Saccharomyces cerevisiae S288C: one gene and its partner. The protein of the gene in region 1 interacts with the protein of each later gene in a pairwise test. Each region holds a gene or a part of one and is shown on either strand. Other genes may lie near its edges. The genes, in order: YAP7 and STB2.

Evidence for each region.
Region 2: the proteins of YAP7 (region 1) and STB2 interact in a two-hybrid assay, tested with the Saccharomyces cerevisiae proteins (one large-scale study listed by BioGRID).

Annotation. Positions count from the first base shown.
Region 1 is NC_001147.6:269,871-273,377, reverse strand, and holds YAP7 (Yap7p), read left to right. Parts: upstream 1-2,007; coding exon 2,008-2,745; downstream 2,746-3,507. Other genes in the region: ribosome-binding protein MDM38, read left to right, coding at 1-1,375; YOL029C (uncharacterized protein), read left to right, coding at 2,958-3,507. UniProt on the Saccharomyces cerevisiae protein: Probable transcription activator linked to cell cycle that induces transcription activation of genes in the environmental stress response and metabolism control pathways, like the closely related YAP5.
Region 2 is NC_001145.3:380,727-384,657, forward strand, and holds the start of STB2 (Stb2p), read right to left. Parts: upstream 2,173-3,931; coding exon 1-2,172. Other genes in the region: STV1 (H(+)-transporting V0 sector ATPase subunit a), read left to right, coding at 2,577-3,931.

The DNA of each region.
Region 1 (3,507 bases):
TCAGGGTTACGAGTTGTCTAGAAGAGAGAGGAACCAATTGAGGAGGACAATGGGCGATGTGTTTAGGTTGATCCCTTTTTCAGCGTTCCTTATTATTCCATTCGCCGAACTATTTTTGCCTTTCGCTTTGAAACTCTTCCCCAACTTACTACCCTCCACTTACGAATCCGGCAAGGATAAGCAAGCCAAGAGAAATAAGCTCATCGAGATCAGAAAAAAGACATCCGAATTCTTGCATGAGACTTTGGAAGAATCCAATTTGATCACTTACAACACCATTGAAAATGCAGAGAAGAAGCAAAAATTTTTGAATTTTTTCCGGAAGCTTTATTCTGCCAAGGAAGGTAAGATTATGACTTTCCAACACGATGAAATAAGCGCCATTGCGCAAATGTTCAAAAACGATAGCGTTTTGGATAACTTGTCAAGACCACAATTGGCAGCAATGTCGAAGTTTATGTCACTAAGGCCATTTGGTAACGATAACATGCTTCGTTACCAAATTCGTTCCAAACTAAAGGATATAATGAACGACGATAAAACTATTGACTACGAAGGCGTTGAAAGTTTATCGCAAGAAGAGCTGTATCAAGCTTGTGTGTCTCGTGGTATGAAAGCGTACGGTGTATCCAAGGAGGACTTGGTCGATAATCTAAAAGTTTGGCTAGAATTGAGACTGAGACAAAAAATCCCATCCGTCTTGATGGTTTTGAGTTCCACGTTCACGTTTGGAGGACTTCCAAAGGAGAACTATTCAAAGGCATTCTCGCCACTAGCTGAAAAAAAAGAAACAAAAAGCAAATATGACGACCTTTTGGATCTGTACTACGACGGTATATTACAAGTGCTAAGTTCCATTCCAGATCCCGTTTACAACGTCGCAAAACTAGATGTATCTGAATCGAAATCATCCGCTGCTGAAACTGAAGCTGAAAAGCAAGTTGCTGAAAAGAAGATAAAGACGGAAGAAAAACCCGAGGAAACTGCTATACCGAAGGAAGAAGCCACCGCAAAAGAGTCTGTTATAGCTACCACCGCTTCTGCGGTTACTCCTAAACTAGTCGTAGTTAATGAAAAGGCAGAAACAGCGAAGACAGAGGAAATATCTCAGGAAAAAGAGAACGCAGAGCCTACCGACTCTGCGGAAGCCACGGAAGCTGAAGAAAAGAAGACATCCGACGATAACGAGTTCAAATTGAACGTTTTGAAGGAGCAAGAAGAACTAATAAAGAAGGAGGAAGAGGAAGCTAAGCAAAGAGCTTCGAGAGAGCATGTGCCAGATGATATCAACCTAGATGAAGAGGAAGAAGCAAAATCTGTACCTCCCATTCCGGCCGATCAAGCTGCGAAGACTTTTGTCATTAAGAAAGATTGATATTAGATCAAAGCCTAAGAAAAAAACTAAAAAAAACTAAAAAAAAAAAGTCAATCGGTTCTCTTTTCTCTGACAACAATGGCAAAAGATCAAAGAGAAGCGTACGTCACGGCAAAACCAGCGACCCTTCAAAACTAAATTATTATGCATGTATATAATAGACACCCTATCTAAACTACCGCCTTATTTTTTTTTTTATACAGGAGCAAAGTGTCTTTTTTGTGATGGCCACGAGGGTCCTTTCACTCATGACTCCTTAATCAGCATCTTATGAGCTGGATTTTCATATATCGGCGATTTTTTTCATCGGTAATGCACGCAGTAAAGCTGCTCGCTCGAGAAAAATTAGTAATATATGGAAGAAGAAGCATAAGCATAAAAGAGAAAATCCGCTGCCCCACCGTAGAAAGCAAACAAGGCTATTGGTTATTCCTCTTTTCACCTGTACTTCAATCTGTAGCACATCATCATAAGAGGCTTGAAAGTTGCTCAAGAACAGTTTCAACGGTTTTTTCTTTTGAAATTTGAAAATTGCTCTTCGTTTGTTGAGCCGTTATCAAGGAAGTAAATCATCAATTAAAGAATATAGAAAGGCACAAAATTTTGTCATTTACGCACACTTTCAATGGATCATGAGACAACGAAGGTCTGTAGTAGCAGTTAGCGTAAAGCCCAAAGGCTTCAAATTGGGGCATAAACAGGGTTCCATGTCTACGACGTCTCCACCTCCATCCTCACCAGATGGAAATGTGAGTACATCAGGACCGTCAGCTATTAAGTTATCCAAGAATTGGGAGTTACCACAGCGCCTAAAACCGGGCCGCAAACCGAAATCCAAGCGCGGGGATGCATCAGCTAATAATGATGGATCGTCCAAGATAAAGAAGGTTCAAACTTCCAACCAGAAAGACCAAATGACCACAAAAGATCATGAGAACGAAGGCGCAAAAGGTCATGAGGGGAAATCTGATGATGAAGGCAACGGAAGTGGTGATGAAAACGGTGTCGATAGCGTGGAAAAGCGAAGGAGGCAAAATAGAGATGCGCAAAGAGCATATAGGGAACGCAGAACAACAAGAATCCAGGTTCTGGAAGAGAAGGTTGAGATGCTACACAATTTGGTCGATGATTGGCAAAGGAAATATAAACTGCTGGAATCTGAGTTTTCCGATACAAAGGAAAACTTGCAAAAATCAATAGCATTAAACAACGAATTGCAAAAAGCCTTGCCTTTGATTGTTAATACTCCATTTCAACAGCAGCCAGAAAACCCGCCAGACAATCCTATTTCGATATTAGAAATGGTAGAAAACTTTAAACCAATCGGCGCTGTCAGTTTAAAAAAAGGAAAGCTGAAGGCCCATTGTTAACATCTCATGTGCCCGCGGTATTAACAGACCAGTCTTTGTCTGAGATTGATATAGCCAACGATTATCAATATCTGAGCGGCAGACAGTTTAGTTCAACGAATTCATCGCTTGATGGCCATATTAATTCACCTCTGTCTTCATGCAGCAGCAGTATCAATGCATGTGCAGGCAGTGGCAACAAAAAAATAAAATGTTGTAGGAATAAAGATGCCATGAAACCAGTAACATGTTGCAACCAAAAGAATAACATAATGCCATCCTTAGTCCCCGTTTGCTGTTCAGAAAAGAAAATAGAATCCGATGCTAAGAAATCAATATCGAAATGCTGTGGAGACAAAGAAATCTACGATAGCGAGAATAGACCGATCACTAAAGAGGATGGGTCATGGATACCTGGAAGCTGCAAGCAATGTAGATCAGACCCCCATAGTAGGAATTTTTGTCAATCACTTTCGAATAAATGTAGTTCAAGCTCTTTCTCTTCCAACAGTGCGTTGTCACCGGATCTAAATGAACAACAAACTGACGTAAATTACAATTCAATCAAGCTACCCGAAATATGTTCCTGCAAGAATGCACAAATGAATGCGGCTTCCGATGCAAAGAGGTATCTGCCGATCAGTTACACATATCAAAAAATCCGTCAACATATGCAAAAAAATAAAAGTATCCAAGAACAACTAAATCCTGAGGATTCAACTTCGATCTCATCAGCGTTAGAGAACATTGCATCTGGATTGCACGTTCGTGGACAGAAAGTAG
Region 2 (3,931 bases), on another chromosome or scaffold:
ATGGAGAAGAAGTTGTTGCTTATTGTCAATGTCTTCAAATCTCCCTTCAAACACTTTTGCACCATCTGAATACTTCTTATATAGTTCTTGCAGTCTTTTATATCTTTCGTTGAATTTAGAGTACTGACCAACAGTTCCCTCCTTATTTAATTTACCCATATAATGCTCATCCATTTCTTGTATGTGTTGCTGCGCTTGGATGTCGTATTTCATTCGTAACAAATCTCTAGCTATTCGAACAACAGATGGATCAAATGGTAAATCCCATTTTTCCACAATATTCTGTACAGCAGAAGAAGAGTTGCATCTATACAAACGAGATGACTTTTCCTTCAGCTCTGAAAGATCTTCATAAATGTTGTCGTGTGTGCGATCTTTACAATAGGGAAACGAATTTCTTCGGTAGTATTCTCCTTGATATAATTTGTTGATGCCAAAATTATATGCATATTTGGTATTATCGTAGTTTGGAAACATTGATGACACTGTTGCAGATGAGGGCATAGCATTGGTCCTCCCTATGTCTTCAGATGTATCAAGACTGGAAGAACTAACCTTTTTGGAGGCGTGCTTTTGAGCGTATGCGATTCTTTCCAAACGAAATTTTTCTAGTAGCATTTCCCTTTCTCTTATCTGCCCATCAGGATCGCCTCTCTGGTAGTTAAATTTCAAAAATTCTTCATTAGAAATATCCGTACAGCATTTCCTTGGGTGTCCCTTACCTTTCCATAGTAGTCCTACAGAGCCTCCATGAATATTATGAATAAGTGTATCTAGATCTGTTGTAAGAATTTTGTGTGACAGGTTGATGGGATTTCCCTTTCCTATGATGTCCTGTACCGTTGATGTCACCATTTTCTTCAGTTTAAAAATGTCTTTGCTAGAAACTTTCGCTGTCACTTCAAAGAGTTTCTCTAACGTTCTTGGGTCTAAATAAACTCTAGATTTTCTTTTATTGAGGCCATGCTTTTTTTGGAAATTATAAATACCTTGGAAGAAACCAGCTTCATCAAAGGGATCCTTAGAGGAAATGCAATTTTCTATCATCAACTTGAAATAGCAACAAAGGATCAAACTAATTAGGCCAGCTACTGTCGTCGGACCCAGTGTGCATTCATTCCTTGGCTTTTCTGTACCAAGGTACAGTTTCCCGTAAGTTTCCCACCATTCATCTATAGCTCGCTTGGTGTCTTCACACAAAAGACCATCCGTCTGGTAGTTCTTAGATAACAAATTGAAATAACTCAACGAAATTTGAATTAAAGTTACCATCTCCACGACTGGTGATTTACTATCGGTATTTCGACACTTTGAATTTCCAACCGTCTTGTATTCTTCCTCAGGCAAACGCGGTTGCTGCTGCTGAATCATTTGGGGATACTGTGCAATAAAACCATTTGTAGGGATTTTGAACAGTTGTGAAAACTTATCAAGTGATGCCATAGTTGGAGGGCATAACAGATTTGCCGATCTTCCACCACAATGCAGGTTTTTCAGATCAAAATTAACCTCGAAATCCTTCCAAATTGTTCTCAAGTCACCACATTCCACATGCAACAGATTCAAGCCAAAGGACACACCCGAAAGATTGGTAATAAATAGAGTGCCCTTTGGTGTAAATTTTGGCCGCGCAAATTCCATTAATTCTTCAAAATACAGTCTAAATCTCCCTGGCCACATACTCGTATCCTTTGGCAAAACGACTCTGACTCCCGATATTGTATCCTGAGAGTTTCCTGTATATGACGTAATCAATGTTGACAAATTCCTACATGCTACCCATTGCTCCACAATATATATTTCAAACCCGTGTACGATAATTTCTTCATAAGTTAAATCAGCATAGTTGCCTAAATCTAACAAGAACAAAGCCCTAGAATCTGGGAATATAAAACTGTCGAGAGGCGGGAGCTGGCTCACAGTATCATTCTTTATCAACCCAACCACTTCCGAATCATCTGAGTGACCATAGTAACTACTTCCACTGTAATTGGTTTCCTCATTGTTTAATTCATCGTAATAATCACCGTTTGCATCTTTTTGTCCACGTTCTCCAAAGAAATTATCATCGAGTGTATCCCTAGTGGAGTAAATTCTTTCTAAATCCTGCATATGTTTTCCATCAAACTGGCTAGTTTTGTCTCCTGTGGCAATAGTATCCGCCATAACCATACATATTTATTAATAGGTGCTTCTTCCAGGGTCTAGTTCATTACCTCCCCTAAATATCATTCTCAGATCATTATAGCTTCTATTTCCTGTTATGCGGGTAGCGGGGCTTATTTTTGTTTCTCAAAATAGAGGTGTCCTTTTTTGCCATTTTTGTTTATGTAGTCAACTGCATAGGTAGTTAAGAAAAGACATAGGCCCACGAAGGTGATTGGAAGTTCAGTGTTGACAATAATAGAATAGTAGCACACTCTTTTTATTTCGTTTTGCTTACAGTTTTGTACTCGCTTTTGCTTTTGCTTGCAAATAATATCCTCGTGACCTCGAGGCTTACATTAAGGTGCATATCATAATTCGCAACAGACGCATTCTTATTCTCTAAAATTCCTCGAGTTATATGAATAATTATGAATCAAGAAGAGGCTATATTCCGGTCAGCAGACATGACGTACGTCCAACTGTACATACCGTTGGAAGTCATAAGAGAGGTAACTTTCTTATTAGGGAAAATGAGTGTCTTTATGGTGATGGATCTCAATAAAGATTTAACTGCCTTTCAAAGAGGTTATGTTAACCAGTTGAGGCGTTTCGATGAAGTGGAAAGGATGGTAGGCTTCTTGAATGAGGTAGTTGAAAAGCACGCCGCAGAGACCTGGAAGTATATTTTACATATCGATGATGAAGGAAACGACATTGCCCAACCCGATATGGCGGATCTCATCAATACCATGGAACCACTATCGTTGGAAAATGTTAATGACATGGTGAAGGAAATTACTGATTGCGAATCCCGTGCAAGGCAATTAGATGAATCTTTAGATAGCCTTAGAAGTAAACTGAACGATCTTTTAGAGCAAAGGCAGGTAATATTCGAATGCTCAAAATTTATTGAAGTCAATCCTGGGATTGCTGGAAGAGCTACAAACCCCGAGATTGAACAAGAAGAAAGGGATGTTGACGAGTTTAGAATGACCCCTGATGATATCAGTGAAACATTAAGCGATGCTTTTTCTTTTGACGACGAAACACCACAGGACCGGGGCGCTCTAGGGAATGACCTCACTAGAAACCAATCAGTCGAAGATCTAAGCTTTTTAGAGCAGGGATACCAGCATAGATACATGATAACAGGCTCTATCAGAAGAACAAAAGTAGATATATTGAACAGAATCCTGTGGAGGTTATTGCGTGGTAATTTGATCTTTCAGAATTTTCCAATAGAGGAGCCATTGTTGGAAGGTAAAGAAAAGGTTGAAAAGGACTGCTTTATTATTTTTACTCATGGTGAAACATTGCTCAAGAAGGTTAAGCGTGTCATAGATTCCTTAAATGGTAAAATAGTCTCCCTGAATACTCGTTCTAGTGAATTAGTTGACACCTTAAACCGTCAAATAGACGACTTGCAAAGAATCCTGGATACTACCGAACAAACTTTACACACAGAACTGCTCGTTATACATGACCAGCTGCCAGTATGGTCCGCCATGACGAAAAGGGAAAAATATGTTTATACCACATTGAACAAGTTCCAACAAGAATCACAGGGTCTAATAGCCGAAGGTTGGGTGCCTTCCACAGAATTGATCCATTTACAAGACTCATTGAAGGATTACATTGAAACGTTGGGTTCTGAATACAGTACCGTCTTTAATGTGATCCTAACCAATAAATTACCACCTACATACCATAGAACCAACAAGTTCACTCAGGCCTTCCAATCGATTGTGGATGCATACGGTATCGCAACATATAAAGAAATCAA